Linked DNA regions of Arabidopsis thaliana. The main gene of each other region encodes a partner of the protein of the gene in region 2 in a complex. Each region holds a gene or a part of one and is shown on either strand. Other genes may lie near its edges. A codon is read from its position in the direction of its gene.

Region 1 (7,096 bases), on a different chromosome or scaffold from region 2:
GGTCACGAATCATGATCACTTAAACTCCACAACTTCACGATCACGAATCACGATTACATAAACTCCACAACTTCACGGTCACGAATCACGATTACATAAACTCCACAACTTCACGATCACGAATCACGATTACATAAACTCCACAACTTGACGATCACATAGAGTTTGCTTCCTCTCCAACACAATTTCAATATTGATTTTTTCACAACAATTTCTACAATTTTAACTCAATTCTTGTTTAATATTCTTTTTGCAATGTATTTCGAGCGTTAGTGAACTTGTAAAATTGTTTGTTATCAGTTATTACATTTTTTAAGATTTATTTTTTTTTGCTATAGAATTTGTAATTTGAATACCCTTGTTCTTGTTGTAATTCTTGTATTTAATATTCTTTTTGCAATGTAATTTTTGAGCGTTAGTAAACTTGTTATTCTTCGTCAGACCCCGAGAATAAAGTTTTAGTGTTACCTGGTAAAATGAGGTCTCCAACACTTTCTTAAACATTTTGAGAGAAAATAAATAGATAAAAGTGGATCATCATCACGATGCAGAATCTAGATGCTCACCTCTCGTCAATTATGTTCCAACTTTGGTTCAAATCCAACAAGGTTCTTTGAAGAAGGTAGAAGGTACTGGAGGTAGTGATTTATAATGATCATTATATTCAGCAACGAAGGGTAAGTAAGTAATATGTTTGCTCTCACATTCTTTCGTGGTACACACGGTTCAGATAAACAAATTTATTTGATTCTTAAATTATTAATTTAAGATGAACAAATTTTAAGGTAAACCTATATTATTTTTTTTACACAAATGCAGAAAAGAAAAACACTTCTTTGTTTCTGTCATTAATTCCCTCCCTCTATATATATATATTTAAATCTATTATGACAAAACAATCCAATACTGGATACTTTTTACAACAACATGCACAGACAAAGCTGAGATCTCACCTTAAGAAACTAATGAGATTGAGTTATGTTCGTCTTCATCAGACGAAGAGGTTGAAGACGACGACGAAGAAGAAGAAGATTGTCTTCGTCCAACGAGTCCAGGAAGAGGTTGTGGCATCATTGGATTCACTGGAACAGGAAACTTATGAGCAGAACTAACCATTGTTCTTTCGTTTATCATCCCTACTTCTTTGCAAACTCTGTCTACTACTCCAAGGAAGTCTCTAACCACCAAGAATATTCTAAACGGATGCGCTTCTTCTTTAGCCGAGTTTCCATGGAAATACTCTGTGATTTCTTTTACAAGTGATAACGCTACGCTCTCTTGAGCTTGTACTCTGATGATCTCTTCCTCAGCTCTTTTCAGAAACGTTTTCATCGATTCCGAAAACCTCTGACTGTTGCTTTCTTCTGTGATTGTTGATTGGACTTGGATTGCTTCGTTGATCTTGGCAATGCCTTGAGAAAGCTTGGAGACGTAGCTGCTTAGTACTTCTGAGTCCATCGCAGCAGCTTTCTTGACGTTACTAAGCTCAGAACAGAGACTTGATACAACTTGGAGACCTAGTTTCCGGCATTTAATGTCATCTGTTTGTGTATTGTTACCTGAGAGACGTGTGCCTTCTGCTCGGATTATCTCTTGTACAACGAAATGCAAGAGAGTTGTTTTCCCATCAGCGCCTTTGACATCGACTAGCTTGAGAAGTGTATCAAGCTTGAACGCATGTGCATCTCCTCGGTTTGTTCCAACGTTCATACGGTTTCCTGTCTTTAGAACCGCTTCAAGAAGCTTTAAGAACATCCTACTGTTCCTCAGTTCTTCACAAGCAGCCTACACAAACAATAGAAATGAAGTCATAATCTGTTACAATACAACCATATGGTAAAAAGAGAGAGAATAGCTTGTAATATATACCTCAAGAGTCTCAAAAGATTTCTTCAAGTATTCAACCTCGGACTCAAAGTTGGCTACATAGAGCATTGCATCAACTCTTTTAAAGGCGAAAGGGATGTCCAACATTGCCTTAAGGAATTTCTCAGCATGTCCAAGCTTAACAGGCGAATCATCATTGTACGCTTTCAACTTGCGCTCTTCTTCTTTTGTCGGTGCCATCTTCAGTAAGCTCTCAAGAAGTTCAGTCCCCAGTGTATCAGCATTGCCTGAAAAAGCATAACTAAGAACATCAATGTAACCAAGAATCTCCACACCATCAAAGAAGCAAAGCTTTCAGAATAACTCAACCATATCATCGAAAAACCATTAACAAATGCATAAGAACTCTAATTCTGGAGATCAAAGGAGAAGAAAATGAGAAACTATGTATGTGACAGCATAGTTTACCTTCAAGAAGAGCCTCACAAACTTCTTCTATAGTGACATTAAGTGCACGAAGCAAGATGGCAATATTCTGAGCCTTCTTCGGGTCCAGGACTCTGTTCTCTTGGTTCGGGCTCGGGAGAACACATCTTGGAGTTGTCTGACTCTGATTTGGTTTGTTGTTTAACGACTTCGCCACAAACAACGTCTCAATCATCTCCTCATCTAATCTGCAAACCACATTCATAATCTCAACAACCACATTCTCACTAAAAGCATATAGTATCATATAAACGAGTATGTCACATTAACTCACTTGAAAGAGCTTGATCGAAGATGATCCCAAACCATCTCACGATCCGAACTTGCTCTAACTTTATCCCAATGTAACGCCTTTAGCTTCGGTTTCGGAGTTTCCTCCGCCGCCTCACTCGCACAAACCGTCTCTGGAGTCTCCATAGGAGACGAAGTCACTGGTAAGTTTTCAGATGGGATCACAAAAGGATGTGAAGGCGGTGTAAGAGAAGGCGGTCTCGAGATTGTGTCCGCTTTAGTAGTCACCTGACTCCGTCGTCCCCACAACGGCAACGGTGGGGGAGGAGGAGGAGGCGGAGGCACACGAGACTGTAAAATTTGAGGTGAAATGTTCGATATCCGTGGTGATACATCTAAGCTATGACTAAAATCTCTATCCGGAGAAGATGATAGAGACTGCGAATTCCGGGAAGATAACTTAGGAGATGTAACTGGTGACTTATGAGAAGCTTTCTCCGGTGAAGAACAAACAGAAGAAGAAGACGACGACGGTGAACGAGAACGTAATGCATCTAACTGCTTAAGGAAACCTTGTCCTCCATGAGAGTTAGAAGGAGAAGATAGTAACTGAGATTGCAAACCTTGCCGGAGATTACTCATAAACGCCGGTAAGACCTCCGGAGATTTCTGAAAACATCTATACGGTGATGTAGAAGCAGAAGAATGCGACGGAGATCTCAAGTAAGCTTCTGGTGTATCATTTGGTCGTCGTTCCGGTGAAGTTGAAGTAGATGATAATGGAGAGTTCTCTTTTTTGTTATTCTCCGGTGAAGTTGTTAGAGATGTAACCGTCGGAGATCTAAAGATTTGATTCAATCCTACTTCATCGGAGTTTTTCAATCCCGACGATAAAGAAGCTAACGACAGTGACGGAGACCGAACAAATCTATAATCGGTTAACTCCGCCGGTTCTGGTGTGGAGATAACCGGCGGTTTTGGTTCAGATCTCTTAGGACTCATTGAAGGAGAGATACTGATAAATGTTGATCTTCCTGGTGAACCAGAGCTTGAAGATGAGCAAGAGATAGTGTCATTGTTAACAGATCTAGGATTTTGACCCGGAAGTCCGACCCGGTTTAACGGTTCTCGCCCGCTTTGTGAGCCACGTGGAGAGTAAAACTCATCTTCTTCATCTTCTTCTCCGATTGAACCAACATCTGGATTTAAACGGAAACTTCGTTTCATCAATGGAGGAAGTGGTTGAAGATCTGGAGATTCAAGTTTTCTTGAGCTTGATCCATTATTACTAAGAGATTGTTCATCGATTCCTCTTTGATTCACCATTGTTCCTAAGTAAAGAAACTCAGAGCTGTTGTTATTGGTGGAGCTCGTGGTGGTCCTCTGTTTACTTCTAGCCTCCGCATTGCGTCGTGTTGGAGGCGCCGTTGCCGGAGGAGGAGGGTAGACACGGCGGCTACTGTCGGTGGTGTATGTTTTGCTATCATCGGAGAAGTTAAGATCTTGGTTACGTTTGCTTCTTCGCCAATAGAGTAAAGCGATAAGTAGAGCGACTAAAGCAGCGGAGGAAACGGCGGAGATAGCGACGATAAGGAGTTTTTTGGAGTTAGGTGGGGATTTAGTGGCGTGAGGGACGATTAGAGATGAGATATTCGCCGGAAAAGAAGCGAAGGAGGCTGGAGAAGGTGGTGGTGGAGATGAAGGGTATAAAGGGAAGAAAGGAGAAGCATTTGGGTCTGATGAAGATGGAGGAGTGGTTGAAGAGAATGGTAGTTTAGGAAGTGGTGGTGGTGATGGTGGTGACGGTGGTGGTGAATCTATAGGGAAGAATGGTTCGTGGAGTACACGACGGTCGGCGAAGACTAGATCGGAGGATGAAGATAAGAGTAAGTAGAAGAAGAATAAGAAGAAGAGCATTGTGTTATCTTCTTCTTTCTTCTTCAAGAGTTCAAGATCTGAGAAAAGAGAAGAGAGAAACTTTTTGAATAGAGTGATGAATCCAGCTAAGATTCTGCTGGTGATGGTTTGATAATTTTGTTTTTGGTTTGTTCTCTTAACTCAGTGATGGTGAGAGAGTAGTAGAGAGAGTAGAGAGAAAGCCAAAAGAGGTGATGGAAGAAGAGTGGTTGATTCTTAATTTTATTTTTACGTAGTGGGGTCCATTTCAGACAGTAACATATGAGATTATAACACGTAGGATAAGACGTGGACTTTGTAATAGTCCGCAGAAGTGTACACACTGAAAGTAAACACTGTTCATTGAATTGCACCGTACGCACAATGTTGAAAATAAAAATGCGAGTGGATTTTTATTTTATTAAAAAGTTATTACGGCGGTTTGACGACGTCTGTAATAAAGAAAACATAAAATAATGGTGTGTTAATGTTTGAGGAGGAGGAAGTGGTAGTGGGTGTATTGTGCTGAGTTCTTTACTTTATTTTGACCGACACTGTCTCAGGATGTGTAAATGGTCGGTTCATGTGCTTTCGCCGAATGCTGTATGTACAAAGCGTAAAATTGGAGGACAGGTCTAACTGGTGTAGATAATAAGGAGGAATTAGGACATATGATGAGAAACTTATACAGTAGCATCGTTTGATAAAATATCGATCGTTGCAAATAGTTAAGTTAACCATAAACTTTTAAATGGCTACATCATGGTTCATGCAATAACCATATCTCTAAATGCGTCCCTTAAATCTTCTTAATAAGCCAGTTATACTTCCTGCGTCTTATGCAAATGTCGACTGTGTGAATCCTCTTTCTGTTTTGGGGCAACAAACATTAGACCACAACATGGTTTTGTTTGTTTTTGTTGGATTTTGCAATCATAAAAATGGCACTAGAAATTGATGGTATTGAATATGACAGAAATACTGAATTTACCAGGACTAGGACTGCAAAATTTATCAAATTTAAAGCAAATAATGTCTGATTCTTGTAAAATTTGTGGGCCTGTGAATGTTAAGAAAAACTATAAAGTGAACTATTAATAGTTCATATAAAAGTTCAAATAAAAAGAGGTGCTAGAAAACCATAATTGGACTAAGAAAGGGAGTAAAATAATTGGTCACGTGGGAAAGCTACTGAAAATGTAAGAGTACAAGAGTATCAGGAAACCACCGACACACAAAATTGAACTTTATACTTTTATATGCAAAAATACCTTATAAGTAGTCTCATCGTTTTATTTTTAAAATTTATATAGTGTTTCAAAAAAAAGAAAATCATTGCGGATGGATGAGTAGTTGTTTTACGTTTGTGGATGAGTTTTTATTTTACACCATAGCGGATGGTTATAGAAGAACCTCTAAAACTATCTCCATTGGTAGTATCTCATAAGAATTTTTCATAGTTAAAAAAATAAAAATAATAAAAGTAAAAGAGAGATTGTAGAAAGTTTCTCGCTTCAGAAACTTTGAGATACTTTTTACGATCCATCATGACAATTTTCTTTTTACTATTGGTTTAATTTTTTAACAAAAATATTTTTTTAATCAAATAATCAAATTATAATATAATATTAATATTTTTTTGTTTGAGAAACTTTATGGATTTCTCGTGGATGAAAATGCCCTAAATATTTAGTTGAAATTGTAAGAGTGATGAATCATATATATGAAAGTTGGTCAACTCTCTTCATATGAGTGATCATACAAGAAAATGACATGTGTCATTCTACATTAATTAAATAAACAAATTAGTAAAATTAATTGAGGAAAAATTAAAAGTTTTTTGTTGTGTTACATTTTCTATTAATCTCACTCTTAAAGTGAATTTTCTAAAAACATTCAATAAATAAAAAATCATAATAATGTATCAAGTACTACTTTCATTCTATTTTACTTATTTTTTAAAAAAAATTTATCAATAGTTATTAATCCATAATGGCTAACATTTACGTGTGTTGTAGTTTAGATGTTTGCTATCTAACCTCATATTAATTTAGTAATTTTAGTTGGATATTTTCTTATTATTACGTTTTATGTGAATCTTATTTATCATATGACCTTCTTTATGTTTATTTTTGTGCGGTCTGATAACTTGATAACATTGATATACAATGTTTTCACGTAATGGTCATCCGAGGCATTAGACATATCCACACAGAAATATGAGAATCTATATGGCTATATGCAAAGGAACGGCTATATGCAAAGGAACAGAATTAAAGTGTTGACTTAAATTGCTAGCATATCATGATGTGGTTGGTGTACTAGATGACGAAAGAATATATGGAATAAAGAATTGTTTGTTAAAATTAAGTTAAACAAGTTTCAAAATACATAAGTAATATAATTACATATTAATATATCATAAAATGATGTTGTATGTTTTCATGATAGTGAAATAGTTGAATAATAGGTATATAAATATTCATATTATAGTAAAATTGATATTTCGAATTATAGATAAATTTAATCAAAAAAAATTATAACTATATAAAATAGATATAAATTTATTAATTACACATTAAACACACGCAAAACTGAACATCAAAATCAACAAAAGACCATAATCATATATTCCGACAATTTTAGAAATAAAAAC
Region 2 (4,500 bases):
CCGGAAGCCTGGGATAGAATCCGAGAGAAACTGGGGAATGTTCTACGCGAACGGAACTAATGTTTACGCTTTAGACTTCACTGGGGAAAACACTACGCCTGTTTCTCCAACAAATTCAACCACAGGTACCAGTCCAAGTCCAAGTTCAAGTCCAATTATCAACGGTAACTCGACAGTAACCATCGGAGGAGGAGGAGGAGGAGGAACCAAGAAATGGTGTATTGCTTCTTCACAAGCTTCGGTAACGGAACTGCAGACTGCATTGGACTGGGCTTGTGGTCCTGGAAATGTTGATTGTTCAGCTGTTCAACCAGACCAACCTTGCTTTGAACCAGATACTGTTCTCTCACACGCATCTTATGCATTCAACACTTATTACCAACAGAGCGGAGCAAGCAGCATAGATTGCAGCTTTAATGGAGCCAGCGTTGAAGTTGACAAGGATCCAAGTAAGTATTTGTATACATACACTTTCCAAAACACATCCATTAAGAGTAATGTGAAGCCATAGTAGTCTCATTTGAGCTCTCGAAATTGCAGGTTATGGTAACTGTTTGTACATGATTGCTCCGGCTACCGACGGGTGACTTCTCTCTCTGATTACTCAATCTTGAATCTATCGAACTGGAAAAACGAATCTTACTTGCTGATGTTGTTGTTGTTACTTTTGCAGATTCAACAGAACAATGGCGGGTAATATCACTGGAAACATAACTGCCATTGATTCCCCCTTGGCTTCGCCTTCGTCAACCAATGAAGCATTCAGACAAATGGTGGTTGCAGTCTCTGTTTTGTTGCCGTGTTTTGTAGTTTGTTCGAGTATTTGGTGACAAGTGTGTACATGAATGCACTGTCGCCTTCTTTTGTATGAAGTTTTGAGTAGTGAGCGAACTTAAACTAGAATTTAGCCCAACTGTTGAACTTGGTAATTTCTTTCACCACGTAACCGAAATGTCAAGCTTGGTGATGTATTTGTGACTGAACCTAGAAAATTTTTATGAGCTGATCGAGAACAAATGATCACAAACTCAAATTTTTATTCCAAAGCGTAATTATACATTACGAAATACAGTACAAGAGAAAAACATAAGAGCCATCATAGGAGAGGATCAAAACCATAACAAATATGATTGTTTCTTTGTTCTTTTTAAGAGTATAATAACTTTGTTTGATGCACAACAACAATCAAATCACAATACATGGCAGAAGGGTGCTTCTCTAGTGAAGAAAGAACCCGAAAAATGAAATTTGTTTGAAGCACTTTGAGTGAACTTAGAGACCAGACTCGATAAGGTAATCGCCGAGCCTCTCCACGACCAAGTTGCATTGCCCTCCGGTCATCGGTTCATCATAGATACCAAAGACTAGAGCTTGAGTAGTCTTCTTGATAGTGACTCCACCAGGTCCCTGCAAGAAGTAAGCATGGACTTTAACTTGCTGATCTAAAAGACTGATCCTTTGATTCATTATCTCAATCAAAACCACAAAAAAAGAGTCTTCTCGAATGAAAAATGTTACCTTTTTCCCTCGGATGACGGCTCCAGCCTCACCTTGGACAACCATGTACTTCTCACCGCCAAGGAATAGCCCGGTTGGGGCAAGATGTCCGGCTTCTTCAAAGTCTTTGTTGATTCCTGCTATCTCTGCAGGCTTCAACTAAATACATGAACAAGAACAACAAAGTAGGCAATTAGCTTCAACCGACTGAGCAATGATACTACTACCAATACAACAGATCCTTTACATGGTTTATACAATACTGAGCAGAGGTGACAATTCATATGCAATGACCCTAAGATCTCAAATTCAAGTAAAATACCAAATTTTGAAGAATTTGGTGAAAAGTTTTATCATTTGATGAATTGAAAGGAGATAAGATTCTGTGCCAAGCAAAACACCTATAGACAAGATTTGACTACTGAAACCATGAAAATCTCAGAATCAAACTCCAATCAATCACTGAGAAAATCAGATTGTCAGAGAGAACAAGTCAGAAGCTAGCAAATCAAAACCAGATCCAAGTTTCCTCAGATCGGATCACAAGGAATAAACCTAAATCAGACGATTGAATCAGATCGATGAACTTATTTGAGACAGAGGATCGGAAGAAACGCGAAGAAGAAGGAAGAAAAACCTGAGGGAAAGCTGAGCTCTGAGCCCAGACACTGCCGTCTTGGCCGAAGATGGCGGCGTGTGTGAGGTGGTTGCCTTCGACCTCGCACATGAGATGGTCATCGACGTATGATTGCCACGACATCTTTCTTCTTCTCCGGCGAGATGAGACTGTTTCTTCTTCTTCTTGTTGTCTCTGCTTCTTCTTCTTCTTCCTCTTCTTCTGTAGCGTGCTTTTGGTTTGTAGACTTGGACAACCTTTGAGCTTAAATTATTAATAACACGATTTAGCCTTCCAATAAAAAAAAACTCTTTTTTAATTTCTACTGCAAAAAATTCCATTAAAATACATATTTTATTTATTTACTGAATTTGATAAAGACAGCTAAAAGAAATACCAAAAAAAAAAAAAAAGTAGATACAAATGAAATTCAAAATGTTTTGTGTGAAAGTCGATAAATAATTTTAAAATGATAATCAAAAGAAAATATTTTTAAAATGATTAAAATTTGCATCCGGTTAAAAGAAATGATTTTTTTAATCTATTAACAATTTCATTTCTCGGGTTTTACATTATTTCTACAGTTTTTATTTTTAAACAAGATCATATAGAAAATGCATATAATTCTTGCATGGTATAATTTGATCTAACGCTAAAAGTATATTGAAAATTTGTGTAAATAAAATTGTCAAACCAAATGTGAAAACGTTTTAGATTTTATTGGAACAAATGAAGTTTACATAAATAAACAATACAAAAGTTTTTTTTTCTTTTCTAAAAAAAACAATACTAGAGAATTTAATTTCCAAAATCAAAGAAAAGAGATCGAAGTATGGCCATAATTTGTTTACAGGGTGGATATGCTCTTGCATTGTGTGCCATACACCAAAATATTCCAATTATTTAGGTCCACCCTTTACAATTAATGTTCTCTTTTCCTAATGTCATTGTCAATAAATGTTTCTTAATTACCCAAAATTTAGAAAGATGGTTAATAAACCTTTTTCTATTCCAAAAAAAAAAAAAATGTTTTTGAGTTATTGAAGAGAAACAATCACTTGCTATTGTTAATTTGTTATATGTGCATCGTATTGATTCAAAGTGAATATTGTGAGATAACAAAAATTTCCTTATATCTAAGTGATAATGTAATAATAGGGAAAAAAGACTGAGATTCGATTTCTCGATGAGCTGTTAGATTAGCACATAATAAAGACAGATGGGATGGGAATGATTTTCCGACATAATTGTACTATTATTACTTTCCTATTAAAGATTAAAGTTGATGAATGAATTCTGCCTGTTGCCATTTTTCTTTCTCATGTTCATTTTTTCTTTCTTACGAATGAAATCACTAGGAAAGATTGCGTTGCGTATCAGTTTTTTCTTCTGTTGTAAATAATGAGTGTTGATGTATGTGTTAAATGCTCGTGTAAATTTTGAAAGTGTTTTTAGTATTGTGAGATTAATGTCTCTACTACACTACATACAATTTTCTATAGATTATGATAATGCAATTTTCTCAATCAATACGTTAATATTTAGTGTAGTAGACAGAATGCAATTGACAAAAAAGCAAAGAGAAAACAACTAAAACATGCATATAAATAAGAAACCAAGGCAAAGAGAGTAAAAGCCTTTTAGGCTTCAGCTTTCTTAAAAGTTTGCTATGGGGAGAAACCAGGAAGGTCCATTAGCCCAAAACTTATAATATCAATTAGAGAAAGAGATGCAAATCACCCAAAGGAAAAAAATAGGAGAAACAATGGCCTTATAAAAAAATGTAGGTGGTGGAACATTGTAAGAAGATTCTAGAGACCCTGTTCGAGGAGGTAATCACCCAACCTCTCGACGACCATGTTGCACTGTCCTGGTGTCACTGGCTCTTCATAGATCCCAAACACACATGACTGTCCTGTTTTCTTTATCGTTATGCCTCCTGCTCCCTAATTGAAAGAAGCATATATTGAATTAGAACCCTCTTCAACATGGTATTTGCATATCTGATCATGAAGCTACTGATTAGGTTACCTTCTTGCCACGGATTACAGCCCCGGGCTCACCTTGGATCACCATGTACTTTGCTCCTGCCATGAATAATCCCGTGGGTGCCAAGTGACCCGGTTCGTCGAAATCTTTCATAATATCACTGAACTCCTGTCCCTTGAACTATATGAAAGACCAAATCACGATTAGTCGATTACCATGAGACAACATGCATCATTTGTTTTCAAATCTATGCAAAACATATAAAAAGAAACACACACACACAAAATACACTATATATATATCCCATGACAAACATTGATAGAATCTAATCAAAACATGATGCATGATCTAAATCACATTGTAAAAACACATATCATATCGGATAGCAACACTATCAG

The links. Proteins that work in one complex are often made in the same cells at the same time.
Region 1: the proteins of PFN2 (region 2) and AFH1 are in contact, whole or in part, in a crystal structure (PDB 6IQJ), measured with the Arabidopsis thaliana proteins. Residues at the interface, in NP_194664.1 of Arabidopsis thaliana: Met1 (codon at 2,257), Ser2 (codon at 2,254), Trp3 (codon at 2,251), Tyr6 (codon at 2,242), His10 (codon at 2,230), Trp33 (codon at 2,161), Gln99 (codon at 1,374), Tyr125 (codon at 1,296), Leu126 (codon at 1,293), Ser129 (codon at 1,284), Leu131 (codon at 1,278); in NP_189177.1 of Arabidopsis thaliana: Pro527 (codon at 2,883), Pro528 (codon at 2,880), Pro529 (codon at 2,877), Pro530 (codon at 2,874), Pro531 (codon at 2,871), Pro532 (codon at 2,868), Pro533 (codon at 2,865), Pro534 (codon at 2,862).

The regions. Positions count from the first base shown.
Region 1 is NC_003074.8:9,250,366-9,257,461, forward strand, and holds AFH1 (formin homology 1), read right to left. Parts: upstream 4,719-7,096; 5' UTR 4,462-4,718; coding exon 2,588-4,461; intron 2,502-2,587; coding exon 2,296-2,501; intron 2,115-2,295; coding exon 1,870-2,114; intron 1,786-1,869; coding exon 955-1,785; 3' UTR 728-954; downstream 1-727. UniProt on the Arabidopsis thaliana protein: Might be involved in the organization and polarity of the actin cytoskeleton. Involved in polar pollen cell growth process by maintaining tip-focused cell membrane expansion for the polar extension of pollen tubes.
Region 2 is NC_003075.7:14,447,892-14,452,391, reverse strand, and holds PFN2 (profilin 2), read right to left. Parts: upstream 2,505-4,500; 5' UTR 2,258-2,504; coding exon 2,135-2,257; intron 1,657-2,134; coding exon 1,519-1,656; intron 1,408-1,518; coding exon 1,273-1,407; 3' UTR 998-1,272; downstream 1-997. Other genes in the region: AT4G29360 (O-Glycosyl hydrolases family 17 protein), read left to right, coding at 1-449, 541-583, 674-830; PRF4 (profilin 4), read right to left, coding at 3,925-4,059, 4,145-4,282. UniProt on the Arabidopsis thaliana protein: Binds to actin monomers and regulates the organization of the actin cytoskeleton. At high concentrations, profilin prevents the polymerization of actin, whereas it enhances it at low concentrations.